Lepisosteus oculatus: one gene and its partner. The protein of the gene in region 1 interacts with the protein of each later gene in a pairwise test. Links are inferred from orthologs where the notes say so. Each region holds a gene or a part of one and is shown in the gene's direction. Other genes may lie near its edges.

Evidence for each region.
Region 2: the proteins of gfer (region 1) and bnipl interact in a two-hybrid assay, tested with the Homo sapiens proteins (2 studies listed by BioGRID and IntAct). The link is inferred for Lepisosteus oculatus from reciprocal best matches to the Homo sapiens genes GFER and BNIPL.

The regions. Positions count from the first base shown.
Region 1 is NC_090714.1:12,799,491-12,815,718, reverse strand, and holds gfer (FAD-linked sulfhydryl oxidase ALR), read left to right. Parts: upstream 1-8,517; 5' UTR 8,518-8,518; coding exon 8,519-8,743; intron 8,744-9,752; exon of another isoform or gene 9,753-10,188; coding exon 10,189-10,400; exon of another isoform or gene 10,401-10,459; intron 10,460-10,712; coding exon 10,713-10,875; 3' UTR 10,876-11,191; downstream 11,192-16,228. Other genes in the region: drg2 (developmentally-regulated GTP-binding protein 2), read right to left, coding at 2,054-2,140, 2,249-2,302, 3,808-3,866, 4,565-4,653, 4,749-4,825, 4,960-5,057, 5,644-5,734, 5,908-5,980 and 5 more; syngr3a (synaptogyrin-3a), read left to right, coding at 15,710-15,811.
Region 2 is NC_090722.1:5,499,593-5,516,351, reverse strand, and holds the start of bnipl (bcl-2/adenovirus E1B 19 kDa-interacting protein 2-like protein), read left to right. Parts: upstream 1-9,122; 5' UTR 9,123-9,526; coding exon 9,527-9,570; intron 9,571-12,357; exon of another isoform or gene 12,358-12,439; intron 12,440-12,739; exon of another isoform or gene 12,740-12,841; intron 12,842-16,655; exon of another isoform or gene 16,656-16,759. Other genes in the region: prune (exopolyphosphatase PRUNE1), read left to right, coding at 1-194, 691-875, 1,439-1,597, 2,662-2,756, 3,111-3,269, 3,965-4,426. UniProt on the Homo sapiens protein: May be a bridge molecule between BCL2 and ARHGAP1/CDC42 in promoting cell death.

The DNA.
Region 1 (16,228 bases):
CTAAATGTTTTATATCTAAACTGGTGTCTGGGCAGAGTCTCCCTTTAGTTCCTTTTACCATTAGGTGTCACTACATTATATGTTCAGTAAAGTCAATGGAGTTTCATGTCGCTCTTTTTATTATTATTAGAGATGCTATTATTTAATATACCATTTGATAAGAAAGGTACTGTAGTCAAGTGCAAAGAGTGCAGGTGATAAACGTTGTCTGTGAATATCAGACTGCTGGCCTTGAACTAGTGGAAGCAGTGTGCGACAGGTATTCAGGAGCTTTAGAACTCATAATTGTGTAGTGTTATACGCTTTATACACAGACTGTACAGTAAAAAGCGTTGGGGAACCATTGTAAATGAGTGATGTACAATAATCACAGGAAAGATAATGATTTGAGTATGGAAAATATATTCCTTTTAACCTATAAAGGCTTGTAAATTAAAATCTTAAATCACTTTACCACACAATATTATTTCTCTTCCTGCATCAGAACAGCTGTCAATGCCTGCTATGATTGGAATGGTGTTCTCAGTTGATGTATCGCAAAAGAGAAAGTCAGTGCTGCAGCTCCACTATAAAATCATGATTTGTTAAGTCCTATATATTTAATTAATTGATGGGAGTGTTGCAATTTCAATTCACAAAGTAGATTGAGGCATTACTTTTCAGACATAGAATTTAGCTTCCAATATTTTTGCTGCCCTGTACTGGCTGACGATTTCTTAAAACTGTCTCTTTTCTATTGAACAGCCTCCTGTTTGGTAAATAGGCACTTAACTAAACTAGCAGGGTGACTTTTTTTGAATTGCCAGTAGAATGCGAAATAACATTTTATTGGTTTCCACTTACGGTTTTGGTTTTTCCTCATGTACTCAAACAACTTCATCACCTCCGAGTTTTCATTTTCATCCCTCGATTTCTGTAAATCCCTTCTTCCCCCCAAAATAGGGCCCCATCTTTGTTTCCTGCTGGCCTCGCCTTTTCTTAGGCACAACCCATTGCTATTTAACTGCTCTTCCTGCTTCTATCATTTGGAAAAGTCTGGGGATGGGAAGAGGGCCATGGACATCTTCCTCCAAAGTGTTCACACATCCCCTCTCAGAAAAGCCACAAACTCACAGTACACTATTGAGAGATATCCCGTTAGTGTTAATCCATGGCAGAGGAGCATTTCCAATAAACGAATACCGGGGTGTGATCCTCTTCCCCCAGGGCACTGTCAATTCAATGAGGGCTTTGTGCCTCTAGACCAAAGGACAGTGTCTGGCCTAAGTCTAATGCTGACTATTTCCTCAGGAAAGTTGAGCTGCCTCTTAAGATCGGAACCGCAAATGACTGGAAAATGCAAGCAGAAGATCCCCATTGTCCTTTGCTGCCTTTACCACACCCTCTCCTGACCTGACAAAGGGGTAAAATAAGGGGCCTGAGGAAGCTGGTCTGGATTCCCATTGGCCACCTCTAGTCTGGTTGCCAGCTGTGTCAGTATTTGTTCATGTTGACACCTGAATCTCCCACCTGACAGAAGGAGAGCTCATGCTCTAGACTTGCTGACCTACCCCCAGTGTGAATTTAGGAATCTCCACCAGCTCCCATGTACAGAGGCGGGTTAACGTGAGCAGAACTTCATAAACTGAGCAAAGCAGAAATTTGATCTTTTATTCTTCCATGTTCCAGATGTCTTGCCAGGTCAATTATCAGACATTACATCCAGTAAAAACAGCTGCAAAATTCAGTAACTGCAGTTAAAAAGATGTGAACATTTTTCATGGTGACATTCTTTTTGAGTTTTATTTGCATTTGATGCATAAGCATAGATAACATTACTGGAACCACCTGACTGAAGATCTAAGGAGGACCTGTTCTGCAGAGAGCATGATTGTATATGATCTTTAACTGTTACACAAAATAAGAACCTGCTAGGTAGGTTTTCTATAAATGCTGTAAATAGATGCACATCTTTATTTCCTGACACTGAAGTGTCCCAAGGATAATTGTTTCAAGGATTCTTTATGCTGCATCTGGCCACATGGTTATTGCTCAAAACACAGGCTGTTATATTTTATTTCTTTACAATCTGGATGACATCTTCATGTTCCATGACATGTGTGAGCCCAACTCTCTGAGGGCTGTACTTTGTGCTTGTTCCCTAAAGACATGAAGAAAAAACATTCACATTATCAAGACGAACAGCTACTCCACTTCTTATCCAAAAAGCATGCGTGAATCAATGTGCCTACAAAGCTGACGTACTTACCCACACCAGTGCGTACTTGAACTGGCTAGCTAGTGTTCTATGAATCCGATGGCACTGAAAGATAAGAAAAGGAATTAAACTGTACTCTTCAAGTTATGCATATTGTTTTAAATCTTTTTTAGAAAATTAGAATCTCTAATAAGTTCTGTTAAAACAACTCCTTCTGAAAAAGCCGTCTATCTCGGCTCTCAATTGCGATCTCCACAATGTCCCACAGGAGAGGCCAGAAATGCTCCTCTGACACACACACCTTTGACCTTGACAGAGCTCAGCCTCCTGCTGTTCTGGGGCGGTGCTGTGTGCGAAGTGGTAAAAAGGGAGAGGGACTGCAGGTGGGCAGAGTCAGGGGAGTCTGCCTACGTGTCCCCCCTCTCCCCTGTGTGTTGTAGCCAGGTTTATAGCTTTAAGCCAATAGGTTAAAAACACGCAATAGGCTACAACAAAAATCGGGTGTCTGCAACAAAATAATCCACAATTATAATTTTCTTTTAAATTCAGCGTCTGACAATTCATGACACGTCACAGGCAGCACAGCCCGGTACCGAGGGCTCAGCTCTGCAATGAGGATAGATGCACCACTCCCCTACAGTGCCGCAAGCCCTCAAGAACTCAGCAGGCTGCAGGGGTCTCTGTGCTGCTAAGAGCTGAGACAACCCTGGCCAACTAATCGCAGCCCACCCTTGGGGTTGTTCAGCCAATTGTGTGCTACCGTTTGGGGAATCTCTGTCTCAAGACAAGCAGTGATAAGACTCGGGCTTGAACCCACGATCACAGAGCTCAACGGGCACTCAGGCAAGCACATATACTCATTGAACTACTTAACCCCAAGAACAATTTCAGTTCTTCAATAAGTCCAGTCACATGAGCTCATATGAAACCCTGAATTTAAACTGTACTGGACACCAGCTTGAAATCCACAGCGCTGGCCACCTACAGACTATGTCGGCGCACAATGATTTTGCCAGATCACTACTGAAAGGACTATTATTCTTCATTCTACCCGGGAGACGGCACAAAATACTACTTTGTGCTCAGGGTTTTGCTTTTTCCAGGTTTATTTCACAGTGGCATACCATCCATTAAGAGGCAATTATCAGCTACATCCCACTTTAACAATAATTAGCCATCGTCCTCTGGAAACAGATTGTTTTATTATTAACCACAATTATAAACATAAACAATGTAGTTGTAAATATACACCACAAACATCTCCATTAAGTTGAAATGAATATTCCCTGGATAGCTTGCTCGACAACAGGTTAAAATAAACGCACAACCAGATTATATATCAGCTGGTAAACTGTGGCACCGAAAACTGAGCTATAAGGGCTGTAAACTATACCCAAGAGACTCATTTGGGAAAATGCACAGTGGCTGAAGTGTGACGTGAAACGCAGCTTGTTTTCTCTGGCAAACAGTGGTTGTTTTTCAGTTTAGACAGTGAGAACAGAAAACACTATTCCTTGGTTCTGTGCTTTCCTTGAAGGAAAAACAAAACTGGTTCATTTTATTTTAAACACCTCAAGGCAGAAGGAAAAAGACGTGAAATATCTGCTTACCACATGTTCGACACTAGCTCCTCTCCTCATGATAATTGCATCTGAGAAATCTGGTCTCTCTAGAAACAACACAAGAATGGATTGGGTTTTTAATCATGAGAAAGGTTAATATCGGACTGCACCCACGCCAAAAAAGGTTCAACAGCGATTACATCGTCACCAGCACTAGCTATATTCACACACAGGGTTTTCTTTTGATTAGAGATACGTATAGTGACATAGGTATGCATGTCATTAAATCTGCATTGTAAAAATTCACAAGGATATAAACTTCACACATACTGTGAAAGAGGACACAAGAAAATCTAGGAATTTATTTGCTGGTGTTTTAATGGACGAAGCAGCCGAAACAAAAACTCTCCAAGCATGGCAAACAGAAGAGCCCACGCTTTATTTAAAACGGGAAACCTCAAGACGCTCCACCCAAGACAATTCATTAAGTAACCCGATCTCTGATGAAGAATAGGTCACTAACGACATTTCATACAACAAAACTATGCTGTTTCGTTATCTAAACGAGCAACGGGCTATTTTATCTTCTTCTTAGTCTCCAACATGGCAGAATAAATGTATTATATAAAAAGTACATTTTTAGTAGAGAAAGGGAAGCCTATATAATTGCCTGTAAACACTGATGCCTTCTAAAACCACCACAGTCAGAGAATCAAAATTAGTTATTGCAGTGGACAAAATAGTTAGGACATTCACTGTTAACTTCTGTGTCTACTGAACAGATGTTTTAGTGAGCTAAGGATACCTCCTCTTTTCTTAGTGTAGATGCAGATGAGGGCCAGGTACTCCCAAAGTGTCTCAAGAAGGTAATCTAGATTAAGCTTCATCCCACAGCTGAAAAAAAACATGGTCTTATCAGCAAACATGAAAAAGTGCAACAATGCCACTGTTCTTTTCTGAAACAAGAAAAACGGCCACAGGATATTTACCTAATGACCACGCTATTGGGTCGTTTGGCCAAACGGTCTACCTCTTCCATCGAGATTTGGTCAATTTTATTGTACACCTGCAAAAACAAAGGTCTACACTTTTTGACAAGAAATTTCTCTAAAGTCCAAAAATGAGAGTCAATTTATTTTTTGTTGTCAGTTTGCACCCTTTAGATAAAAAAAAAAACACTCAGCACCGTTTTATACTTACGTATAAGCATGGCATATATACTCTGTTTCCCACAATTACATCGATGAACTCATCTGAAGTACAGTCTTCTCTAAACAAAACCTCTGCATTAAAGATTTCTGTGAGGATGTTTTTTAAAGAAAATGTTTATAACATGCATAAACATATTTCATATCTGTATATTGGTGTCTTAATATCTTCTGATTATTTCAATGAAACACACAAGTTATTTCTCAGTGTTATACACGGCAGTTTGTCATATTGCACCATATTAGGTCATCTAAATTGCTTTTAAGCAATGTAAATGTTTTTTTTCCCAAAGGAGAGGAAACAACACAAACATTGGGAAGTCATAATACTCATTCTGAAATGTCACTAAAACAATTTTAAACCTTATTGATGCTCCTGTATGAAATGACTACACAGTTTTATTGTATCTGTTCTGGTTCTATAATAAAAAAAACATCTTTTAAAAAGAGACCATAAACTAACAGCCACCATTAATAAAAAATTGATAAGCAAAGGTTTAATGAACAGTGTAATGTTTCTATAAATAATCTCTTGAAAGAGAAGACATGTAAATCACCCTGTATCTTAGTTCCTGTTGTTCTGGAGCAAAAAGCACACCGCTAGGGTAAGACACATTAAAGCACGCTATCACAACCCGAAAACAAGCGGATTTTTTAGGTTGACATTAAAGGATACTGTATTCATGAAGAATAAGCTGCACTAGTTTTTCAGAGCAGTGGGTAAGGGGGACTGTGGAGTTGTAGGAGATGCCTCCACCCTTCTTGGGCTGAAAAAAAAATATTACAAATCAATATCGCTCCAAGAAAATTCAGATATAAGGCTTCACTTTAAACTTATAATCAAACATGTTATACATTTTAAGCATGTTGTGGCTATTTCTCATTTACACTAACATTTGCTTTATTGCTGATCTGTACATAAGTTAACCCCAGATAATACCTTGAAATATATATTAGGCTTCGACATGTTGAGCCTAATTCCAACAGATTCCAACTCCTTTTCCAGAAGCCCCCTGTAAAAAAAATAAATAAAAGATTACATTCAAGGACTGCATTTAAACATAGGAAGACATTTTAAATAAACTGTTTTTCAGGGACACAGCATACTCGCTTTTAACTAAACTGGAGGTTTTTCATATGACGCATAAATAATTTAATTTATTTAAAAAGCAGATCACTAACCTCTGAACATCCCCTTTTGTGGCATCCAGCATCATTATGACAACATCTGCAGTTCGGGCAACAGCAATAACTTGTCTTCCTCTACCCTTCCCTGCAAAGACCAGCACCCACACACTGATAAAGGCCATGCTAGCACCAGTTACACCTACAGCCCAGCAAAATGGCTGCTCACTGAGAAGCTAGCCCAGCACTGAAAACACACCAGGGTCATCACATTGCAAATGAGATGTCTTATTAATTAAAACCTTCCTAAATTGTAAGGGATCACAAAGCTATCACTTCCAATTAAATTACCTTGTGCTGCCCCTTCAATGATCCCAGGTAAATCCAACAGCTGGATGTTGGCACCTTTATACTGCAAGAAAAAATCCACATCACCTGTTAACCAGTGTCGTGCAAAAAAAAAACCTTTTGATGTTTTTCCTTTTACAAAACAAACTAAAAAAACAAACAAAGAGAATACCTCTAAAAATATTGGTGGATTCATATTGCCATTGCATTGACCTGGATGCCAAACAAATTTAAGGCTCCTTTGTGAAATCATGTGCACCCTTTTCAAAGAAGGAAAGCAAGACAACCATACCTCAATAACTCCAGGGATACAGGTCAAGGTCGTGAACTCATAGGAGGCGGCCTCACTCGCTGTTGATGTCATAAGGCTGAGGAAGGTGGACTACGAAACAGAAACATCACATCGCCTCAATCAGAAGTTTAGGAAGTTCCTCAAACAACCTATGGCGTAATATACCTTTGTACGCCAATTCCGACACACATTATAAACCTTTCCTTCACATAGGCAGAGTAAAAACTAGGACTTTGGCAGAAAGTAGGTGCCTTACCTTACCCACGGATGGGAAACCAATCAGTGCCACCCTGGCATCGCCCGATTTCATCACATCGAAGCCTTCGCCTTTGGCGCCAGCTGACTTGGAAGGTTCTAACAGCTGGGCTCTGTACTTTGCCAATTTAGCCTTCAGCAAACCCAGATGGTACTCAGTTGCTGCAAACCCAAAAAAACAACAATGTAGTGTCAAGGAAATCTATACCTTATATCCTAAAAAATGTAACTAACATGTTTTGAAACTGGTGCTGCAGAAAACTCATTTGATGTTGCTGCACAATTACTCTCTACTATAATATTTTGGTTGATTTCTCTGTGTCATCCCAACCCCCCCATTAAAACTGTAAAAGCAACACTAAAGCAGGGGTTATTAACTTGTTACTTCCATCCCATTACAAGTCTTTGCTGTGCTGTAGATCATCCTTAATTATCAATGTTCTTCAGCGCTCTGGTTTTTTTAAGGACCAATCCTGCAAGACTTATCATAATGTACAACAATTATTATGTTCTTACCAGAACAGGGGACACTACGTAGATGTGCATTTAAAACTGAGAACACAAGGCACTGATCTACCCAAAGGGTCGTGGGAGTATGGAACAAGCTACCCAGCCATCTTGTTGAAACGGATAACTTGGATTCTTCCAGGAAACAGCTGGGAGAAATGACTGGAACAATTCACGAATAACTACTAAATGGCCTGGATGTGCTGAATAGCCTGTATTCGTCTGTATCTTTTCTCACGTTTTTGTGGCTACCCCTGCCTTAAAGGCTAACATAAATCACCGAACGTACCTTTGTTTTTCTGGGTCCGTGCAATTTCTTTTTCGATGTCTGATATTTTCTCGAGGATTCCCATTTTTAACTCCGAGGTGTCCTTTTATAGAATACTTGGAAATTAAAAAGACATGTAGCTCTGTCACGCACAACGTGTCCTGTCCGCAAAACCAGGCTCGAATTTCACAAAAGAGCGTTTAGCATTTGCAACATTTTGCAAGCCATAAAGCGGCCTGAATAATTAAACACGGTTTTTAATATATATTTTGAAAATAAATGAAAGACTGTCAATAAGGAGACAATAATATTACTTCTACACTTCCCTACACAAAGTGCATGCACAAGACAATTACTCCCTCCGGAAAAGGGAGCCACCGTAAAATAGTTCGGAGTGCAACCAAACCCGCTCGAAAGAGAATTTAGTTCCAGAGTATTTTGAGTTGAAAGTCTTTCAGCTCAGGGCAGGTAACGTGTGATAGAACCCCCTTTAAAAGCACAATATATTATCTTTTGAAAATATAGCTATATTGGAGAAATAATAGAGAACATGCTCGCGTTAGTATTTTTTTTATTTACTCAGATGACCAAATAATTATACGTTGTTACATTCTATTTTATGTACATAAAAAGATGGAGGGTTAAAATAAAATAAAATTAATGTATTTGTTGAAATGTCTTTGTTTTATATGCATATGTACAGACCAGAGATAATGCGTTATATAAGAGACATGTCTGTCATATGTCAAATATAGAATGCATCCCAGAAGCCTTTGCGCCTTGAACATGGCTGCGACCGGCGGTACGAGAGCGCCTGACCCTTCTTCAGTAGCCGGGCTTGCCGGTTTCCCGTTCGCGATTCCAGCTGTCCCCTCTGAAAAAGCGTCGGAAAAGACGGATGAACATAAAAAGAAACCTTGCAGGGCTTGCATGGATTTTAAATCGTGGATCAAAGAGCAGAGGAAACAGTCAACGCTTCAGGTGATGCAAACGAGGTTCAATTCAGTGCTACACTTGTCCGAGTCAAGACATTGGATTTAGAATGTATTCGGATCACGTTTAAGTCAGTTAATATTACACGTGGATCGTATTATTTAAATCTGCTTACTTAACTGCAGTGTTAGTATCATTGTGGGATAAACTGATCAGCTTTACAGTTTACTCTGTGCAAAATACATTTTCTTTTCTCGCGTCTTTGCAGAATTGCGGACTTCCTACGATAAAAATAGCACGATCAGTTTTCAGGTTTGGACATGGAGTTGTCGCCGAGATTTTTCTACACTACGGAGACTGAATCCCATTGTCAGGGACGCGTGAAAATGTTGAAGTTTCACGACTTTCTTTTTTTTCTGCCGTCTGCTTGCCCTTTACTTCTAGGTCTCGGAAGTTTTTACGTGTTGCAGGTCAGGAACGTCAGGAGGGAATCTTTCTCCCAGGTGCATAGCTTTGGTTAAGACGCTTAAGCAGTTATGTCTGAAACGCTGAAATATTATTACATACCTTTATTTCATCAGGATTAAGTTTACACACTGGAATATCTGCTGTCTCTAAATGGGTTAGTGAATACTGGATGTACTAAAGCCCCTTACCTCCTAACCAGATGTGTTCTGCGTGAGCACATAACTGTCCTTTAAATTGCACTGTCTCCCTCCAACATGTAGAGTTGGAAACTCCGAGGTTTAGGGTTTTCTTGCTCACGTGGAAGGTACAAAATAGTCTAGCTCCAGATGATTTTAAGCATTTTTCGTCCTCACAGTCCAGTTCTTAACACAAATTCTGCCGATTCTTCTGAGGAGCAGGTGGTATACAATGGGAACAGACCTTTGAGTCTGCCACTTCAGCTCAGAATAGGGTCTGGCTCCCCTGCGGCCCTGTGTTGATAAAGTGGATGTTTTGAGATGATATATGGGGCTGTTGGAACCCACCCACTAGGTGGAGCTGTTGTACAGAGTATGATGGGGAGACAAAATGTTAACGTGGAAAAGAACTGTTTAAGATAAGATTACTTTATTGGCCATATACAATTTCTCACATTAGGAATTTGTTTTTCCACATACCCCCAGCTTGCTCTCCATGAGACACAGACACGGAGAGAAGCTGGGGGTCAGAGCGCAGGGTCAGCCATTTATACAGCACCCCTGGAGCAGCTGGGGTTAAGGGTTACTCATCAGAGTAGGATTCCCCTGCTGGCCGCGGGATACGAACCGGCAACCTTCCAGCCACAGGCGCAGATCCTGAGCCACAGAGCCACCAATCCGCCCTGTTTATCACATATACTGAATCCGCAGTAATGGGCTTGGCGGGGTGAAGGGTATATTGACACTCTCAGACTGAAGAAGTCCATACTGATCACACCTCCAGGGAATGGAGGAGGAGGAGGAGGAGATGGGGCAGGGGGTGTAAATGACGCGGTCGTCTTTCTTCAGGAGAGCCGGGGGGAGGAGGAGAGGGAGCGTCCCGTGGAGTGCCCCCTTGATCGGGAGGAGCTGGGCAGGAGCACCTGGTCCTTTCTTCACACCATGGCAGCCTACTACCCCGACACGCCCAGCGGCAGCCAGCAGCAGGAGATGAAGCAGTTCGTCAATCTCTTCTCCAAGTTCTTCCCCTGCGAGGAGTGCGCCGAGGACTTGAGATCCAGGTTCGGGATTGGCCTCCTCCGCCTGGCAGAGAGCTGACATCCGGGGGAACGGATGCCGTCTGTTTGTAGAGAGGATTTGAAAGATGGCGTGTATTGTTTTTGTCACTTAAAATATCGACTCTGTGTTACTTCATGTAAACGATCAGTGGTATTACGTTAAAAGTTGTTGCACTGTAAGAATGACACATTTCATCAGACTCGCAGCAAGGATGGGAGATTAAGAAGTGTGCAGCACCTCGCACTGTTAAGTCAAGGCTATATTTTGACAAACACGGGCGATTCTTACTCTGTCATTCTTCCCTCCTATTGCAGACTGAAATCTAATCAGCCGGACACGAGCAGCCGGCACAACCTGTCTCAGTGGATGTGCCACCTGCATAACGAAATCAACGTCCGCTTGGGCAAGCCTGAGTTTGACTGTGGGAAGGTGGATGAACGATGGCGAGATGGCTGGAAAGATGGATCCTGCGACTGAACCAGGCCCCGCTGGGCACGGAGACCCTGAGCCTTGACTGAAGGCTGCCGCGCGTGCACGGCCCTTTCAGAAGTAGGCATCCCAGCGCGCGCCGGTCCCCTCCCTTCCTCGGCTCCGAGACCTTTGGTTTTTGTGTCCTGTGAGCTGACCCGGCTCTCATGAAAAGAAAAACGGGTCTCCGTTTCCCGTTTGACATCGTCTCTCTGCGATTTTCGTTTGACAAACGAGTGAATATTTCTCCTCTAAATAAGGCAACGACCAATTGTTCTAGCTTGTTAATTGGGGAAAAATAAAGCACTAATACCATCCGCAATTACGAATGAACCTTAGCTAATCAATTACCTCTTCAATGCCTGATTTTGATCCCTGGGACAAGTAATTCCAGTATTTGAATACGTGTCTTTGTTTTCAGATCAAATACTTACCATACAATGTAGTAGCATAGCAATATGCTCTTACTTTGGCTCAACGGAAGTCTTTAAATCCTATAATCTTATAACAGTTCTGGATTGTGACTGTACAGAACAGGGGAACACCCTGCAATAGTATCTTTAATGATACTTGAGAGAACTTAAAAACCAGAGAAAGCACAGCAGCTTTATCAGGTCAAAGGATATGATTACCAGTGGAAAGTGCAAAATGGCTGTGCTGTGTTTTCGTTGGTTTTCTGGTATTGTTTCTGCAGATACAGAGCCATTTCCTGACAAATAGTCTGCAGTATAGAAGGGTTTTCTGTTCTGTTTAACGCAAGTCACTTATGGTAGCACAGTACATCAAGCGATCAACTTACACACGCATGTATGTAGTATTCTTTCTTCCTGTAACATAACATGATTTTCCCATCTTTGTTTATAGTTGCAAATACCCTATGACCCAACAGGGGCAGCTCATAAACTTCCCTGCAAAAGGTGCGCTTCAGAAAATGACTTACTAACTTGAAATGTGCAAGTCTACCTCTGCTTCATGAATACTACAGGTTGTACTTGAACCCCGTCCCATTGAGTATGAGTTTGCAAAATATTAGCCATGTTCTCGTGTTTCTTTTCTTTTTCAGGCGATTTTAAGTCCCTTAACTCTTGTTCCACTCCCAACTTCACAGTTCTGCACTGAATATAAAATCCCCCCAGGAGCTGTTATGTTTTATATATTTTCTCTTGACAAAAGGTTAGAATTAAACAGGACCTGGGGGAGATTTTATTTCCATTATTAACTTAGGGGTGTGAGACATTTTGTGAGAGGCTGTGGATTTGAAGCACAGTAGTAGACGACAGCTCTAAAGTTTCATTGAGGAAAGAGTCTCCAATGGAGACCGTGTAACAGTGCGGCAGGGGGCGGAGCCGCGGCGAGCGCCGGTAAAGGTCGACGCCCCTTCTGAAGAGGCGGAGGCACCGGTGTGAGGTTAGCGAAAACCGAAAAAAAAAAAACCCCACAAATTAACGCTATCTAACGGGGTCCGGCCTGGGGAAAAAAGGGAGCGCGAGAGAACTCAACCCGGTTTGTCCCGGTGGAGGTACAGGGCGGGACAGGCGAAAAGAAAAACGAAGGAAAAATGCGACCTTACGCTCTCGGCCCAGTTCCCACGGGGAGGTAGTTGGTGTCTTAAGGGTCCTTAATCAGCCCTAGCAGCTGTGGTGTGCTAATGCCACACCCTGCAACATCTGAATTTTCCCTCCTTTATCAAGCTTCTCTGATGAAGCTTCCTCTGAACAACAACAACAACAACAATCTTTGCATAACGGAGAAGAATTTGGGCTGAAATGTATTCATCATGCATCAGAGCACCAGTAGGTGCATCAGTATTTCAGTATTGAATCAGTGGTTACTCCCACAGTCCAAAGAGATACTGGTAGGTAAATTGGTTGTGGTGGATGAGTGTGTGGCCTGTGATGGACTGGTGTCCCATCCAGGGTGTATCCTGCCCAGTGCCTGTTGCTTGCTGGGATAGGCTCTGCTACCCAGAATTGGACGAACTGTGTACAAAATTGGTGGATGGGTTCAATAATCGGTATAAGAGCTTAGATTTCATTACAGCCGCGCCCTTCTTCAGGAAAGCTTACAAGCACATTAACAACTGTGGCAGATTGAGCAGCAGGACCATAGACTGAACACTGAAGCAGACGTCATGGCTGAGGATATGCTGTTCATGGAATTTCAGTGATTATATTGATAAAACCTGTCAATTACAAAAAAAATCTCAAATGCACAACAGGCACATCTTAAGTCCCTGTTTTGCTTTAGAAACATCACCAGTGTTGGCAATTTGTTTTCTCAGCTATAACATACACCTTATGTTTCCAGATGAATGATGTTGAATTCTGAAACACGGCACCAAATATCCTTGTCCAATTTAAAACAAGCCTTTTGCTCCCTCCCCGTGTTTCCTCATAACAGAACTATGATCTATGTAATATACTATGAATTTTTTTACAGCATGGCAGATACCCTCATCTCAGAAATATACTGTTTGGTATTTAAAAATAAAAAATTGACATTTTTGTGTGTTTTGTATTTAAATTGTACAGTTTAGATGTGAACCTAATATGTAATGTGCATTGATGTGGTAAATGGAACTAACTGTCTTTAAAGTTACTAAATAAAATGTTACATTGTCCTCTGTATTTTTCCTCTCTTAAATCTTAAAGCAAAGTACTTTAAGAGTTACAAATACACTTTTTAAACCAAATCACACAATTAACTTTTTGAATAATTTGTGAAAGAAAAAAATCACTCAAGAAGTATTAGTTCCATTGACCAATAGAGGGTGTAGTTCTCTTATGTCCTTCGTGAAAACCAGAACTTTAAACTACAGGTGTGAATTAAATTTGATACCTATGAGCTGGAAACGTTGCACAAACGTTGAAGAAATTAGTCTTATTTAGGGAACCTGATCTTGAAAGCAAACAAGGTTTCATCTAAATCTACCCGTCATTTGAAACCCTAACTGTAACAATTAATATTAAAATATATACATGCTTCAGTTTAATTACGGAGAACAATATTAATTTAGTCATGTTTTAGTGCTCAATTTGCCTGTTAAATTTAGTTTATTTTCAGGACAGTTTTAAAATCTTGTAGACTGTTCGGCGCAGATATTAACCTTGTATATAACCACGATCTCTCTCCTCAAGTAGGTAGCTGCATCAGCATGGGTAGGCAGCAAAGGAACATGTAAGGGTTTATTCCGTGCTGAAAAGAGAAGAAAGGAAACAACGTGTTTTTTTTCTGCTCTTTTCAGCATGGAATAAACCTTTGCTTATCTATTCTCATGTTTGCGAGGCCAAATGCCCTATAGGGTTACAATAATGACGCCTACACATTGCATTGAAGAGATGGAAATATAGATTACGTACGCGAACATACATAAGCCAAATGCATCAAAAACGGCGCATAATATGCATCTCATTCAACTTTATTGTCACTCTCTCACAACAGAATTACCGAGTGTTTACAGAATGAATGCTTTTATGCAACAATAATGAAGAATGATTAAGTAATTAATGGCATATATATATATAATGAAGCATTACCTCCACGCAATCGCAGCTACAGTATTAACAGCAGGAATCCCCGTGTCTGAAAATCAATCGGCCAGTCAATAAACGTTCAAGCATTTCCTTGGAATGCATTGCAGGTCACAGACTGATCCAATTTTCTGTCAATATACAACCAGTATCCTGCGAAAAAGATGAAGACCCCTCCACGCACAATATATGTAAATATATTGTTTAATGATATTTAGGAACTGGAAATTTCAGCCTCATACTTAATGTAACTCCCATTGAGCTTAGCAAATGGTCGTCTTTCACAATTCCGCTATGACCGTCCTTCCAGCCCTCATTTCAAGACTTCCCTTGAGCCACACGAGAGAGAACTGGCCTTGAGCACACATTTCCAATCTGGGAGCGCACACGCCTCGCCTCCAGAAGTATGATGCTTCTAAAGGCTGCGAGATGAACGATGTACAGTATTCTCGTGGTAGTACTGCAGGAGGCTCCACCTAATGTCCCCCTCTCTGTAAACCTGATCGGGAAGCAGTGACTTTCAGACTGTACAGAGGTTTTAGTAATCAAACTAACGTGCTGCTCACGGGCATTCAGTCAGGGTCTATGTATAACGATACTGAGCGCTGCCGTGCAATAACAGCTCGTCTTATCTACAAGCCTAACGGATGCCCCCCCCAACACGTTGCTAGGCCGATAATACTCTTGTAGGCATTTTTTTTTAGTTTCAAAGCACCGAGGAAACTGCCTGGTTCCCGTTTACGGCGTTTATTTTGTTAGCTGGCGCTGGAAACGCTGCGAAGAGAATCGCCGTCAGGGGGTACGCCTACGAAGGGACCAGAGCGGCAGGTCCACGGATGACGGAGGGGAGACATCTCGCTGAGATGCCCTTCCCAGCCCGAGACTCGGGTGAGGAGGAGGAGGCGAGCGAGACTGCAGACGCTCCTCCGTCCCCCCCCCCTGTGCGGCCGCCGGTGCGTGTGCTTGTGACTGCCTGCGCGTTCAGGTTAATCGGGGCGGCGCTTGGAAAGCTAGGAGTTAATTAAAGGCCGGCGGCCAGTAGCACTACGAGCAGAGCATCGAGTAAGCAGTTCCCGGGGGGGGGTGAGGGCTTCGCTTGTTTACCTTAGGAGCGCTATTGAGCCCCAGGCTGAGTCTGCACCCGCTGCAGTCAGGAACGCCGCTTAAACAGGCTCTCCCCCAGTGCGCGGACTCGCCAGGCTTGTGCACGCCGCTGATCGCCAGTGGGTGTGTGCTTGCAGCTCCTACCCGTCTGTGTGAAGGCGAAGCCTGAGATCCATACATCATAAGGCTGGGGTGCAGTGAGAATAAAGATGGAAGGAGTGGGGTCTTTCGGAGCTGGGAGAGCTGGCGGAGCTTTCGACCCTGTCGCCTTCATCAAACAGCCACAGACAATCCTTAGAATACTGTCCTGGGTAAGGGCTATACGTTTTGTCTTTCGTTGGTTTCATTGTCTTGAATGTCCCCTTTAACATCTAGCAGCTTGAATGAGAGCAAAGAAACACCTTAGCTACAAGCAAGCTTTTTAGCCTTCACGGGTTTTTTTTTCCCATATGCAGTTGTTTATGAATAACCGTTATTAGGATCCATCAATCTATTTTTTTTTAAATCTAACCGTTTAATAAAAGTCAAATTAATTTGGGTAAGAAAGGGGTTGTATTTCATAGCTGTGCATATTTGCAACAGTATTTGATTTCATTCAGTGGAAAGGTTTTTTTATTTTCTTGTGATCGGTATTTGATGTACTTTCATCTTCTCAAATCTGAAACCAAAAGCAATTTTCATTGAGCACCTGTTTAACCTTACTCATTTAGTGAAGGCTACTGTATTTG
Region 2 (16,759 bases), on another chromosome or scaffold:
GCAAACCCGGCGGTGGTGCCGGTACTGAATATCCGGCGCTCGGAGTTCCCCCTGCGCCCAGAGAACACCTTTCTCCTCCGAGAGGCCGGCCTGCCTCAGGAGGGCCTGCTGTTTCGGGATGAAATCGACCTGCAGGCACTGCACCGGACCGGCAGGTTGGCTCTGACGCTGGTGGACCACAACATCCTGCCCAGGTCAGATGAGTGACCCAGCACAGCTGTAACACAACACCCTGCTTAAAAGGGAGCATGCACAAACAGTGCAGCAGCTTGTAAAACTGCTTTGAAATGTGATCTCATCCAAACTGGACCAGTGGTCTCTGCACTGTAGGGTTACAGTGTGACCCACCCCAGACTGGACCAGCGATCTCTGGACTGTAGGGTTACAGTATGACCCGGCCCAGACTGGATCAGTCAATCTGAGTGTGAGACTGCTGGTCAGGGTGAGCATTTGTACCGGTTGACTATTCAGGAAACCACATAAAGTCTCTTTTTCAAGATAATAGCATAATAATTCAATTATAAAACTGTTGTTATCTTAATGAGCTGTCCTCACTCACCTAATATAATATAAGCACCTTATCCAGCAGAGCCACCCAGGAGACCATCTCCTAAGTTTGATGTCTGACTGACTTCTGAGTGACTGCCGATGTAACCTTATCAGGATCCATCTGTGCTTTTCCTGCTGCAGAGCTGACGGTAGCCTGGAGGGGGCGGTAGTGGAGGTTATCGACCACCACCACCTGGATAGGGTGCCCTCCCCATCCTGCCCTCTCACTGTGGAGCCTGTGGGCTCCTGTGCCACTCTGGTGACGGAGCACATCAGCCAGAGAGCGCCGGAGGTCCTGGACAGACAGGTGGCACAGCTCTTATATGGTAAAGTGATGCTCATATAGCGCCTTTCATCAGCATCCCTTCTCTCTCCACATTTTCTCATTATTCTAGTTCTCAGAAGGGGCAGCAGGGCGGCACTGTGGTTAGCATACTGCCTCTCAGCGCCAGAGCCCTGGGTTCAATTCCTGGGGTGCTCTATCTGTGCGGAGTTTGCATGTTCTCCCCATGCTCGCGTGAGTTTCCTCCAGGCGCTCCAGCTTCCTCCCACAGTCCGAAGACATGCTGGTGGGTTAATTGGATTGGGGGGAAAACTGTCTCTAGCGTGAGTGTGTCGGTGTCTGCCCTGTGATGGACTGGAGTCCCATCCAGGGTGTACCCCACCTTGCGCCCGGTGCTTGCCGGGATAGACCCCAGCTCCCCCACGACCCCAAATCCCGCATTTAAGGACTGTCTTAAAACAGTTGGTAATCCCAAAACTCGTGCGAGTATGCAATAGAAAATAATTTGCACCTCCAAAACTTTCCCCCCCCCCCCCCCCACAAAAAACGCTACAATCAGAAGTCGGAAGGTGTGGAACCAGCCCGACCCGGTCTCTCTGATTCCAGGTACCATCGTCCTGGACTGCGTCAACATGGCGCCCGAGGCCGGGAAGGTGACGCCCAAGGACAGCCAGTACGTCGCCCTGCTGGAGGCGCGCTTCCCAGACCTGCCCCCCAGGGGCGCTCTTTTCGACGCGCTGCAGAACGCCAAGTTTGACGTGTCAGGTACTGCCGATTGACCCTCGGTCTCCGCTAATGGCGCAGGTAACAAGTCCAAGTAGGTGAGGACGAACCCCAGAAGTCTGGCGCCACGCACACAGGTCCAGCTGCGAAACTGGGCAGGATTGAGGCCCCGCCTCTCACCCAGGACAGCCAGCCGATTTCCGAAAAGGGTGGTTTTCACTGTTGTTTCAGGAGACATGCGACTGAAGAGCCACCAGTTCTCCCGTGTGTTTTAGAAAGCAGTGGTTTCAGGGTGATCCTTAAATCCTGCTGGGTTGAGGATCTCCATGAGCAGGACTGGCCCCTGCTGTAGGGGGTCCAGACAATTGGGGGCCCACCCTGGCAGACATAGGGCAGTGCCAGTCTGTTGCAGGGTGCACACACACAAACAGAAGGACAACTTACAGGTGCCAGTTAGGCTTAGTCTTAAAAACATTAAAGAAAAATATTTTCACAAACTTGGCCAACCTATTCTACTATTGAAACTATGCCAGTAATTTTTTTTTCCCACAACAGACTAGTCAGTCCTGAAGTGCAAGAAAGAGGGTTTCAGTTTCTCCTAAAACCAATTTCCCCCACCGCAAAGATAAAGTTTTGACTAGGCTGCCATCTAGTGGTTAAGATGATGGGGTTTCCTGTCGCTGTAATGTAGGACTCACCTATTTTGATGTAGCAGAAACTGAGTGACCACACCATGGTCAGCTGAGAGGCAGCTTTCTTGCGCAGATAGCCAGGTTAGCTTGGTCATCCAGGACTGAAGAGTCATACAGCCTGGACCATGTGAAAAAACTGTTTCAGAAAGCGTGCGACCCATTGCAGAAAACGTGTCAAGTTTACTCATGATATTGCTACACACCCCCAAATTCTTAAGAGTACCATTCAGATCCTCCCTGACCTTCTTTTGATGAGATCTGCACACTGGGACAGTGGGTTGTGGATCTGATCTCTGACCCCGTGCACTGCGCTGGCTGACCAGCAGTGTCCCTCTAAGTCCCTCTAGAGGTCTGACCTCTGACCCCTTGAAACTCACTGACTGACCGGCAGCGTCTCCGTGTGTCTCTCCACAGGGCTCTCCACGGAGCAGATGCTGCTGAAGGACATGAAGGCGGAGTCCGGCGGCGATGTGTCCCTGGCCGTCAGTGTGGTCTATGTGATCCTGGAGGTAGGTGGGACCCTGTCGCTCCCTGCAGGCGATTGCTGTCTTCTTAGTGCTCTGTTCTTTGCAGTCTGAAAACACGTAATATATAGGATGATTTCCGAGGGAGAGAAGGGCTTGAGACTTGAGGACTTGAGAGAGACATGAATTTAATGTTTAATTGAAATGACTATCTGCGATGGACTTGAAGACCTTTCATTGTAAAAGCGTCTTCCGACTAAAAAAAGTCAGAAAAGCTTGAACGTTTGTTGTAAAGGCACAGGCTATAATGGGGAACTATTCATTAACAATCGAAGCAGATACTCAAGATTGAACTTAAATGCTTTTTTATGAATGTCATTGTGAATTTCCCCTTCCAAGACTTTCCTGCAGAGGCCTGGTCTGCAGCAGGAGCTGTGTGAGTTCTGCCACAGACACCGCTACAGCGTCCTGGTTGTCATGACAATCTCCTTCAATGAGAGAAAGGAGCCCTTCCGCCAAATCGCCGTCTACAGTGCCAGCACGGCTCTCAGGGAGCAGGTGAGCCCATAGAAACGGGGGTCTACGGTCACCAGGACCCCTGTCCCCCAGGGATGCCGGAGGCCTGTGTGGTACCCCCTGGAGCCTGGGGTCACTCGGGTCCCTCACTGCCCAGAGAGGGGTGCCTCCTCCAGTCACATGGGGCAGACCTTCATGGTATTCCCTAGGAGCTTGTGTCCCTCAGGGTTGCCTCCCACAATGCACCAGAGCTTTGTGTCTCCACAGGGTCGCTCACTCACTGGGACGTTGGTGCAGGATGGAGCCAAGGGGATGACCAAGATCACAAACTTTCTCACTGCAGTTTGTAATCAGGATGCTGTTTCGTTCTAGGGAAACACAACTGAGCACTTTTCCCTGCTCGAGAGACATCAGGAGAGCGTTTGTACCCCAGTACAGGCCAGAGCAGAAATGAGGTTTCCCCAGAGCAGCATAATGCATAAAACCAGAGCATGTGGGCATTTCTGGGCACACAACTTCAGCTCTGTGGTCATTTCTGGGATGAAGAGATCAGGGGATGCTCTCAGATGGCCACACAACAGAGACTTCTGTAGGCTGTCAGGAGCCTGTGAGGTCATGTTCCTCTTGTCACTGTTCGAGCTGTTGGACGTGTTTTAAGTTGAGCCAGCGTGGGGTGGTGGTGGGGGTTTGCAGATTATGTACTGATGGGGACTCGTGTTTGCTCCCCTGATTTGTAGGTGAGCCAGGCCTTGGAGAGAGCCCAGAACCCTGACCTGAATCTGTCGCCGATGAGTAGCCCCTACGCGGACGTCAAGGCCTACCTGCAGGGTAACACGCTGGCATCCCGCAAGAAGGTGATGCCCATCCTCAAGACCTTCCTGAGGGGGCTTGAAGGGAGAACCAGGCATTATGGGGAGGTGGAGGACCTGGGGGAGCTGGAGGACCAGTTCGACCCCTCGCGCTGCCCGCCCTTCGAGGAGGACACCCGCCTGCGATGGTGCTCCGCCTCCCGGCGTCACCGCCACCCGACCCCCGAGGAGGAGGACTCCCAGGTGCCGCCCACGCCGATGAACAGCCTGGTGGAAGGGTGCCCGCTCGACAACGGACCGCCCAGGTTCAGCGCCGAGGCCATCCTGGAGAAGTTTGGCAGGATGGCCGAAGAGAATTCAGAAGAAGACGCTTCCTCGGGGGGGCCGTAGGGGATGCGAGCGACTTCTAAAATATTACAGTTTGTCCACTTCCCCTGCCATCCCACTCCCCACTCCCCACCCCTCCCGCTTGCCCCCTGTCACCACCGAATTACCCGCTTCCCCTCCTCTCTGACAGGACGACCGTGCAGTATTCTGAAAGGACGAGACTTTGTCCCCTGAGGAGGATGTGTGAAGGAGAGCTTCCAGCAAAATACAGACAGTTTGACCGCCCCGTGGCCGAGAGACATCACAGGTTCGAGCCTGGGTGCTGAGAATAGCCGACTGCGGCCAGGAGTCTCCCCAGCGTGGACGGGCACTGCCGGGGGAGTGAGGTGGGGGGGGGGGGTGGTCCGTCGCTCGGCGCTGTCCCGGCTTTCGGCACAACGATGGCTCCTGGGACTTGCCAGGCCCGGCTGAGCATTGGCGAGAGATGGCGGCTCTCCCATCAGGCCGCTGTGGAGCTCGCGGCGTGTCGAGCGTCAAGCGAATGAGAGCTGGGCACGTTGGGGCAGGTTCTCGTCCTCCGCCACGAGCGGGGCGCCTGAGTTGTAGTGGTAAAGCTGAAGTCATCATCACGCAGGTTGGGTGTCGTACAACTGAAGGTTCCAAATTTTAATGCAAAGTTGGTGTGGGAGTGGGGAGTCTGCTGGTCAGGGGACCCCTGATTCTCTGTGCCCACACTTCCCATGCCCGGACGGACCTGCGAGCTCCACCCTCCCTCCCAAAACGCTCGGAGCCGTCGAGTCTCCCGTCGAAAGAGGAGCAGGCTGTGGCGTTTCACCCTTGGGCAGGACGACACATTCACGGCCCATCCGGGCGTGACCTTCTGGCAGGACCTGCTCTTCCCGGGCGGAAAGAGATCCCGGACCCGTAGGTGCTCTCGGGGATCTTGAACTGTTATCCGGAGGGACAAGGAGCACCACTTTTTTTTCCCCTCATGTCGTCAGACATTTCACAAGAAATCTCACATTGCAGAAAAGAACCACTTCGTGTTGGAGGCTTGAAATCCGCTGAGCCCGGTTTCTGAAACCTGGATTTCATTTCCTTGCCTAGAGTTTATCAGGGCCCAGAGCCGGGAGCATTTGGGAACATATTCCTGCTTTGCGAAGGACATTTTGTGACCCCCTTTTTTTTTAAAGACTCTCAACATGGGAAGAAGAAGAATGATGGTCTTTGAGTCTTGACGCTGACGTTTCCCGCTTTTGGGGTACCGGCTATTTGGGCAGAAAGTGGGGGTCTGTGGAGCCAGTGACCTCTGCCCACACCAGCCCCTTGCTGTTATACTGCAGTTTGCTGCTGTGATGGGTCCCAGGGCCGGCACAATGGGTACAGGTACCAGGGGGCCTTGTCTAGTTGGGGGAATGTGTACCCTTGTACCCCCCAAAGCCCATACGAGAAACATCCAGGGCTGTCCAGAGTAACACATGGCCACACGACCCCTGTAAACACTGCGCCGGCTCCAGTGGTTTCCAAATAGAGTCGCACAAAATTAACTTTGCTTTTTATCCGGCGTCAGTGCCTACAGATGTAAAACCAGCCTCTTTAGTTGTGCGTGTTCTTGTGAGAGCTGCACCCCAGGCCTCACAAGCACATGCATATGTGTGTGTGTGTGTGTGTTTTTTGTCAGCTGCTTGGCGGTGATTTATGCCAATAAATCTCCAACAGGAATCCAAAGATTTTTCCCAGCTCCCCCTCCTACTCCGCTTTCCCGGGTCTTTCCAGCTGACATCTCCGAGGAGAGCTGTGCCCACACGTTTGCAAGAATTTTCCAAAGGGTCGGGCAACGGCCAGTTCCCGCGTCAGACTGGTTGCCCACACAACCAGTGTTTGGTACCTAGATATGCAAAAACCCCGGAATGACAACAGTCCGTCCGTTTTTTTTTTACCTCATGAATGCCAAGGCCAATTGTATGGAATGGTTTGGACCCTGAAATCTTGAAATCAATACAGTTCTCTTTAAAAAAATGAATTGTGTTGAGTGTCATTTGTTGCTTTCGTGCCTTTTCTTAAAAAAAAACTCACTTTCATTCACCAGTTTTAACAGCTGCCGCAGTTCGAAAACTCTTTATAACCCAACGACCGGTCCACCCTTTGGACCCTTTCAGGGTCACTTAGGAGCCGCAGCCTGTCCCAGCAAGCAATGGGGACAAGCCAAGATGCACGTTGGGCAGGACGCCAGTCCATCGCAGAGCAGACACACAGACACACTCCCACGGCAGCCTACTCTCCCAGAAGCTAATTAGCCCCCCGGCACGTCTGTGGATCGTGGGAGAAAGCCAGAGCACCAGTAGGAAGCCCATTAGAACATGGGGAGACCATGCAAACTCCACACAGATAGCAACACGGGCTAGGAATTGAACCCAGGGCCCCAGTGGTATGGCAAGGCAGTGATTCTAAACCCTGTGCTAACCTCCCTACAACCAGTTTTAGAGTTTATAACATGATAGAGTCTTAACAACCTGGGGAAAATGAGCACCGCTGATGCGTTAGGGAGTAGAAAAGGCAGATGCTCCTGTAAAGGTGCCTTTTTAGTGGATATCTCAGGCTTTTTTTGTAACACGTTGGTAAAGTGTGATCTGCAACCCCAGAAAGACACTGGTACTGGTTTTATTAGTGAAAAGGCAGACACAGGAATGTGTGCACCCACACACACCTGTCTTCGGGGACTCAGAATTATGTTGAAAGCAGTCTAATAAATGAGATCAAAATTTGGAAAAGTGAAAATTAGCATGAGGTAGTAATTGGTAAATGCGTCTACCCAGCCATTTCCAAAATAACACATTTTGTGTCCTAACAGCCTGAATTCACGACTTAAATTTAAGATTAAGCCAAAATTCTGTTTACCTTTGTAACATACAACCTCATAACATAACTCAAAACATTCTGAAAAGTAATTACAAATGAAAACCTAGAAAAATGGGTGGGATAACCGTACACACCCCTGAGTTAGTACTTGTTGGGATCATCTTGGCTTGAATTAGTCATAACTCAGTTCAGATCGGTCTGTACCTATCTCTTGAAAAAGCTTTATAAAAGGACTCCCTCTACAATGAGCATGTGGTGTGGTTGTGCCTACCATTTCATGACGCGTATTGTGTCAAGAACATATCCAACCTCATTATCAAATCGCCGGCTTATTTGACTTCCTGAAAAAAACACCCTGCTGTTTCTGTGGAAAAACAAATTTCTCCGTAGCTGATAAAAGAGGCTTTAACTGCAGCAGATGAGATAAACCCACGTTCCGGTTAGCACAGAGTTTTGTCATTTGAATTAAAACTGCTTTGCTAAAAGGTGGGGTTTTCAAGGCCGGACTATTGCACACTAGGAAATGTGGTTACATCTGCATTCGAACAAAGAAGTGTTTCTGTGAAGAAAAAGAACTGAAAGTGACTCTGTGAAACTGTTTCTTCCCACCAAGAAGCACTTCGAAATAGCTGTGGATCTCTCAAGTGTCCACAAGGGGGCAGGGTGACAGAGGAGATTCAAGCCTAGTGTTATAATAATTAATAATAATTGCTCACACTTATATAGCACTTTTCTAGACACTCCACTTATAGCACTTTACAGGTAATGGGGATCTCCTCCACGACCACCAATGTGCAGCCCCACCTGGATGATGCGACGGCAGCCATAGTGCACCAGAACGCTCCCCACACACCAGCTCTCAGTGGGGAGTAGAGCAGAGTAATGAAGCCAATTCATATATATGTGGATTATTATGAGGCCATGATTGGTAAGGGCCAATGGGAAATTTGGCCATGCTCTGGGGTAACACCATTACTCTTTTCAAGAAACACCCTGGGATTTTTAATGACCAAAGAGTCAGGACCTCAGTTTCACATCTCATCCGAAGGATGGCGCCTGGTTACAGCATAGTGTCCCTGTCACTGTACTGGGGCATTAGGACCCACATGGACCACAGGCTGAGCGCCCCCTGTTCGCCCCACTAACACCTCTTCCAGCAGCAACCTTAGTTTTTCCCAGGAGGTCTCCCATCCAGGTACTGACCAGGCTCACACCTGCGGAGCTTCAGTGGGCTGCCAGTTGTGAGTTGCAGAGTGATATGGCTTCTGGCCTGTTCATCCCCCATAGCAGTGTCCTTTAGGTAAGAGATTGGTGCCATTCCTTGCAGACGATCTTGGCGAAGCTGTGAAATGGTTGTTAAAAAAGATCTAAAAGCGACAGATCAAACTGCAGGATGAGCAGAACTACAGGGGCTTTACTGTTGTACCTCCTGGTCTCTCTTAGACTGGGGGGATAGAGGATGGGGTCCATAAGTACAGCTACATACATGCTGCATCTGTATCCTGAGATCCAGTAAGAGTTAAGCCTTGAGGCTGTCTTAAGTGACACATTAGCCAGGTCTGCTGTTGCTTTCTGTGACATTTTGTGAGGTCAGCGCTGAGGCAGAAATGCCTGATCTGCTATTAGTTCACAAACTTCCATAAAATCACACGAGCATCAGAAACAGCAGGATCACCTCCTGCTGGGCTGTTCCCAATGATCTGGATGGGCTGGATCACTCCCATGAAGCTCGACATCCTCCAGTATTTTCCTGGGGCAGGAGCATGAGACAGAAAGCTGACTGCTGAAGAGACTTCCCTAATAAAAGCTGCTGCGCTTGCAATCCTAGCTGTGGTTTCCAGAAAGCAAACCGCGCGGCGCTGTCCTGCTCTGTAGAGGCTGGGCTTTAGGACCTTGGAGTGGCCCTAGCAAAGCCCCAGTCTTCCTTCCTTTCTTATTCCATTGTTGTTGTTGCTGTTGCTGCTTCACGAAGAAGAAAGAGACAGGGGGGCAGGTGTGTTCAGCCAATGAGAGCAGCCCGAGCCCCAGGGCTGCGCAGGTAGAGAGCCAAGAGAGACGGGCTCAGTGTCACAGATTCAGACTCGTGCAGGGAGCCGGGTGGACGAGGCGCCACTGCTGGGAGGAGACAAGAGGACCGGCGCGCAGAAGCAGAAGAGGAAGGAAAATAAAAGAGCGTTTGGGCTTTGGGCCGGTTTTTTGGGGGGAAGAAACGACTCACTAATGCCTTGATTTATCATCACCATCGTTATTTTTCTTCTACTAAGACGAGCTCAGACCCGTTGGTCTTGCCTACAGGGCGAAGGGATGGGGACGTACACAGATGTGAAAGACCAGTTTGCACCTCACGGGTAAGTCTTTGAAATAAAATTGCCTCTCCGCATGTCACGGCCTGCCTCCTTGTCCTGGGGGCGCAAGGGGAAGGTTTCTGGCCGCCCCGCAGGGGGCCACGTTAGAAGGGGGGTCCTTACCACTGGGTGGCTTGCCAAGAGGACAGGGATGTGGGATCACACTCCTCCAGGTAGAGACCGAGTTTCCCCAAGGCAGGAGCACCCAGTCGTTAACTCCCGGGTTTAAAGCGCCAGGCCGCTCCGAAGCCGACGCAGGAGAAGAGCAGGAAACGTTGCCTGACCCAGACGGGAGACACCTGACTGGAGCGACCTGATCTACGGTCATCTCCACAGGAGCGTGTTGTTTATTCCATCGTGGGGGGTGGCGGCACTTGATTAAGGGGTTACGTTTTCCAAACTGGGATCCAGGATGATCCAGGAGTCCCTCAGAGAAGCCCAGAATTGTTTTTTCAGCAGTGTGTGTGTGTCAGCTCCAGGATCCTATTTCTTCATCTTTGGCAGTTAAAGTTGCTCAAGCAAATAAACCATGCTGACATCTTACATTTAATTTGCCTTCCACCTTTCTGTGGCAATCTTTAAGTTACCTGACCTATCTAGTAGAATCCTATCTAGGGCATATGCTCTCAGTGGATCTTACAGAACTGTACTGTACTTTTACCCTGATCTCACTGGGCCTTACTGCTCTGTACTGTGCTTTTACCCTGATCTCACTGGGCCTTACTGCACTGTACTGTGCTTTTACCCAGATCTCACTGGGCTTTACTGCACTGTACTGTGCTTTTACCCTGATCTCACTGGGCTTTACTGCACTGTACTGTACTTTTACCCTGATCTCACTGGGCTTTACTACTCTGTAATGTGCTTTTACCCTGATCTCACTGGACTTTACTGCACTGTACTGTGCCTCTACCCTGATCTCACTGGGCTTTACTGCACTGTATTGTGCTCTTACCCTGATCTCATGGGCTTTACTGCACTGTATTGTGCTCTTACCCTGATCTCATGGGCTTTACTGCACTGTATTGTGCTCTTACCCTGATCTCATGGGCTTTACTGCACTGTATTGTGCTCTTACCCTGATCTCATGGGCTTTACTGCACTGTACTGCAATTGTATTTAACGGCAGTGGGCTTTAAAGCATTTAATTCGGCTTTTCCCATCATCATGATGAAATAACTTGGAAGTAAGGGGGCAACTGCACCATCTCATTAAGGGTGTCCCCAGCCTACTCCAATCCAAACCTCCCCACTTCTCTCAATCCAGCATGGGCCAGGAAATGTCTCTCTGCACTGCGTGGCGTCAGATTCAGTAAAAACAGTGCCTCTTGTCCTCAGTCCTCTTTCTGCCCGGATTTCCAAAGAGCCCTGGTAAAGCATAAGGCTTGTAGCTGGTCCCTCCTGCAGAAATCCTCTTTCCAGAAGCAAACCCTCCTCCGGTAAAGAGGGGATCCACAAAACTTTGGTGACTGTACGCGGTGTTTCAGGTGCTCAAAGATGGGCACCCAGGCCTTCCTCTGTACCGCGATGATAAGCCTCTGAGAGGCCAGTCGTGCCTCTCCTGACGGCAGACCCAGATACTGCTGCCTGGGTCACACCCAGCACAGGCATGTTCCTGGCAGCTCCAACCTGAAGCTGCACCTTTGTCTGCTGTGTCGTTTCTGCAGTGCACTAGTCACACCACCCAAAGGAGAAGGGTTCACACTGTGCCGGTCGGGCTTCTCCATTACTTGCAGTGCATGAGCTTGCTATATCAAAACCAGTGCCTGACCTTCACAGTACAGAGATCTTGTGACGGTGCCTGTGATGGTATGGTTACCAGGACAGTTCTCATACAAAAGCCTGGTTGTCTTCAACCAGGCCAGTAAAGGTTACCATTCCCATACCTAACTCCACAGCTGCTCCCAGTGGGCCTGCTGTTGATACCCGAACCCTGCAGGACATTATAATGGGTCACAGACACTGTAAATGAAGGGTGCGCGAGGCAGGGTTGGACCTTAGTGTTTGGTATGGGTATTGGTATTTTTTCTTCCAGTTGGGCTAGGCCTCTCCTGTTCTAGTACTGTTTTGTAAAGCACTCTGTGTTGTGAAAGGCACTGCATGAAACAGAAGTATAATGCATTAAGGTCAATGAATCTTGGGGAAAAAAAAATATATTTTTAGCCCTTAGATTTCTTTTGAACATGAAGAGAAAGTTAAAAATGAGCATCTACCCTATGCCAGACGCCAGGCTTCAGAATTCCTTTCCTTTAGGCCTTATTGTTCAAAGATTTTCTCCAGCAGGCTGTACGGCACGTGGAATAATCAGAGCGTCTGTCACAGTGGCAGGATTACCTTTTTCTGCGCATCTTTAATTGATGTCCAACTCATTGATCGTAAAGGAAAACTACCGCTTTTAGTCAAGTCGAATCCGAACTCTGTCGCCACACTTCACACACAAATTAGATCTATAAAGACATTTACTGCTGACCATGGAGTGTGGCTGTTTAAAAACCAATTCAATATTCTTTAAGCTTCATTAATCAAGAGCTCTGCTGGAACAAACGCTAATGGGCACAGGGACACTCCAGGGCCAGGACAGGGAACCCCATGTTAATGTACATGACTTGGGGGGGGGGGGGTCCCCAAAGGACTTGAGGAGCAGAGACTCCGTGGAGTCAAAGTCATCACCAGCTCGTGCAGCTGTTTCATCATGAACAACCCGGTCTGGCCTGTCCTGCTTCCTTCCTCGCTAGGACTTTGCAGGAATGTGATGTACTTGAGTGTCTGTCGGAAGAATGTGCCAACTCACCTTGCCGGCATGACAGACAGGTCCGATCAGAAACAGAGGTGTTTATCTCTGCTACGTCTTCCTCATCCATGACCCCCCGGGGCTGTGAAGAGGGAGAGAGCGTACGATGAGCATCCTTATTTCCTTAATATTTTCCTTATAATTTTCTGGGTTTTCTTTTTTACGGGCATGGAAAGCCCTACAACACCATAGTGGTTCATTCAGACTGGATTGTGGTGCAACAGAACAAAACAAAACCAGCAGAACTTTACCGGCGGGCTGAGAGCCAATATGTACAGTATCAAGCATGGCATCAGCCCCAGCGAACAGACGCCACTATGACATCTAAAATGTCCTAGTGACATTCTTGCTGAAAGGTAGACTGCCTTCACCCGAGCCCTACCTCTCCCAGCCTTTACTTGTGCGAACGTGTCACACGTGACCCTAGTGACCTCATTGACTCCATCAGGGTCAACCAAGCGATGACCTTGATCACAGCGAGAAACTGTAGAAGAAACAGATCAAGTGGGTTCTGGGTTAGGGTTAGGGAACAGACGTCTGGGTTGCAGTTTAATTCCCCTTAGCTTGGAATCCTCATCCTCAAGCTGGTACTTGTACCAGCTTTGGCAAAAAAAGCGTTCAGGCTTGAGGAGAGGACAGATGCAGCTCCCAGTGGCATCACTGCAAGCTTGCATGCATCCGCATTGGCCACAGGGGTGGCGCTGTTGAGCCACAAACCGAGGATACCCCTGCCCGACTACTAGTGCATGTGACTCTGGCAGCTTCAGCACAGTGAATGCAAGTAGCATCTTACAGGGCTCCTCATGCACATAAGGGGCTCCCTCACAGTCTGAGGCCTTGGATAACGCACACACAGGATGAGGTAGCCTGACAGCTTTCGGATCCCGACTACGGGTGGGTGGAGAGGGGGGTAAACCTTTGCTCACTCCCATACACACCCGTTACTCTTTGCGTAAAGTACTGCCTCCCACACTGCCGCCCTGACCTCCCCTGCATCTCCTCGGACCCGCGCTCTCGTGGCGGAGCCCTGCGGCCATGTCGTGAAGTGCTTGTCCGCAGGTCAGCTGGGGATTACGTGACCGCGCACACTAGCCTCTGCAACTGGCAACTACCCTGAACCCCCCACCACCCCCCCTCCTCCTCCTTCCAGCCTCCCCGAATTTCCGTATCCTCTCGACTTCCCCGGTAGTGACTGCTGCCTCGGCGTGCCGGGAAGACAGTCTTGTCTCGACAGGACCATAGGTGTACAGAGCGCATTCCAGTCAGAAGCCGCCACCTTGCGTGACTCATGCTGCGGCCTGACCAGCAGACAGCGCGCGAACTGCAGCCGGCCCTCCCTGCGCCTGCCGAGACTGGTCTGAGCTTTCCAGCGCTGGGGAAAAAGTCCTGCTGAAACAGTAAGGGATGGCAGTAACTTTCACTGGGCAAGAGCTTACCCTTCTTTTGAAAATGCGGAACACAAGGGCGGCCCGCAGAGCCACAGTTCAGCGGGGTTTCACACGTCATCCCTTCAATCACCTGTTTATAAAGACCTGGCGCACGTGTGGCGCACACCGATCAGATGATCAGTTTAGCAGATGAATTGATTCGGGGGGTCAGTCACTTTACATCAAGGGGGCCCCCACTCCAGGCCAGGAGGACTACTGCACCTGAAGGGCCTCCACTCCAGCCCAACTCTTAATCATCCAGTTGAGCTAATTACGGCCTTAACTGGAGCACTTTAATAGCTCAGGTGCAGCTGTGAGACCTCATGGTCTGGGGTAGAGCCCCTGTTTCACATAACCACACTCACAACGGATGGTTTGTAGCAGCCGAGTTTAGGCCTGGATGTCCTCCTTGCCCTCCGACATCATCAGTAAGATCTCCCAGAACAGTCTGGCACTCGGCTGCAGTGAGTCGTCCTTCTTTTTTGTTTTTTTAAAGGCCTGTGCAGTTGTTCAGCTATGATTGATTCCCTGCTCTGGGGCATCTGGTTTCTTTAAAGAGGAAGTTCAGCTACCGACGAGCAGACGCGTAGAGGGAACTTTCAGAACTGGTCTGGGTTTTCTTTTTTCTCCGCTTGTAAAAATAAACTCTTAGATAGGAGTCAAAAAAAAAAAAAGAGGGCAATCACAGGTTTCCCTGGACTGTTTTCTTTTGTATCTCTGCTGGAGGAGGTGAAAGGACCCCTAAGAGAGGCTTTACAAGCCAAGCACACCACACACAAATACACACACGTGCCGATCAGCTGTTTGCGAACCGAATGACGTACATCAATTCATTCCTGGACCGAGAGGAATGTGTTCGGTTTAAAATGGGATGGGCAATCCTGTTCTGGCACAGCCGGCATGTCTGCATCGCATCATTCCAGGCTCAGCTCCTAACGAGCTCATTCAGCTCGTTATCGCCCGAGTGGAACCCATGTAACGAGTTCTCCCAGCTCTTCGGGTGCTGCGGGACCAGGAGTCCCCCCCACCCACCCCACCCCCACCTGCGCTCAAAGAACTGAATCGCTTTAGCTTTTGATCAGCGAAGGGGCTCCTGCTTAGACCCTTAGGAGGTGTTGTCAGCCTTGCACAGTGTGGCCTCCCTGCTGTTCCCCTCTTGATTCACCTTTCTCTCCTCCCCCTGGGGTGAGGCTGCTGTGTCTCTCCCAGGTGGGGGTGAAGTGGGTCCCCTGCTATGTGGAAACAGCTCAAGTACCCTTTGGGATGAAAGATACTTCACAAAGGCCGGGGACGATGAAATGGGCACGCTGCATCGACATGTACATCAGCGCCTGTGGTGCACTGGTCAGCGCTCTGAAGCGGAAACTACAAGGCAGTGGATTTGAATCCCAGCTGGGGATCTGCCATTGTGGACTTGAACCAGGCACTTCATTGAGGTGGCTACAGTATAACGCCCCACTTTATAGATAGACGAAAGAAAAGCTTCAGCATGAAAGAAAGAAAGAGCTATACGTATACGCTAGCTAAAGCTTTCTTTTTGCCCGAGTTTTTAACCGACTGGAACGCGGCTCCAATTCATGGTTTGCCCCCAGGCGCTGGCCTTCTGAGAACAGTATTGTGTCTCAGGAGGGGAGTCGTACAGCACAGGAGCGCAGAAAAAACAAACGAACCTGATTTTCAGGTCTTTGGGCGATTACAAGGGGCGGGCTACACCGCACACATGTAAAAAGACGAGGTTTGTTTTGATGTGGGAAAGATCGGCCGGTTTGCCAGCATTAAAAAAAAGACTGTTTCAGCAGCATTCATCTACAGCCAGGGAGTCACTGAGGTTGGAATTTGACTCCACCAGAGATAAAACTGTCTTACATATGGTGGTAAAGCCCAGTGAGATCTGGGTAAAAGCACAGTACAGTAAAGTAAAGCCCAGTGAGATCAGGGTAAAAGCACAGTACAGTGGAGTAGAGCCCAGGAAGATCAGGGTAAAAGTACAGAACAGTGCTCTCACTATCTTGTAATGCCCAGTGAGATCAGGGAAAAAGCACAGTACAGTGCAGTAAAGCCCAGTGAGATCAGGGTAAAAGCACAGTACAGTGCAGTGCAGTGCAATAAAGCCCAGTGAGATCAGCGTAAAATCACAGTACAGTGCAGTAAAGCCCAGTGAGATCAGGGTAAAAGCGCAGTACAGTGCAGTAAAGCCCAGTGAGATCGGGGTAAAAGCACAGTACAGTGCAGTAAAGCCCAGTGAGACCAGGGTAAAAGCACAATACAGTGCTGTAAGGCCCAGTGTGAGCAGGGTAAAAGCATGGTACAAAGCAGGCACAGAACTGTGCACTCTGGGTCTAGAGATTCACTGGTTAGTCACTCCTGTCCTGGAGAGCCACAGGTGTGTAATAACTTCATCTAAGAGAGACCCACCACAGGTGGCACCCCAGGTCTGGAACTGAACCCAGGGCCCTCGCACTGCGAGGCAGCCCTGCTGTCATGTCCCGCATTAATAGTTATACCCATTAACCCTGCTCAACTGGGGGCCCTCCAGCACCCCAGTGGTAGCAGAAACCCCGAGTCGTGAGGCCTCAGGGCCACAAACCGCTGGTGCCACAACCCTGACATTTCACCCGTTTCCTCATTCTGCAGCAGTGAGGCCTCGCATGTCCCAAAAAAAAAACCCCACACTCCAGAGGGTCTTGATATAGCTTTAGGCCTATAGGTGAAAACTGATAAGCTTTTAAAAGCCCCAGGGCGAATTATTATTTTTTTATATTATCATGCATTCGCTCCCCAGTACTGACAGGTGAAATCTGCTCACAGTGGTCTGTGTGGAATAACACAGGGGCTTGTTTTCAATGGGTACCCTCCTTCAGGGTGACTCACCTGCCCTGAAAGAGTTCCTTCGCTGTGGGCGTCGCGGTTCTGTTTCTTGTCACTCCTGGTGAAACACGCTTTGCCGGGTCACGCACGGTCAGGGTAAGTGGCTC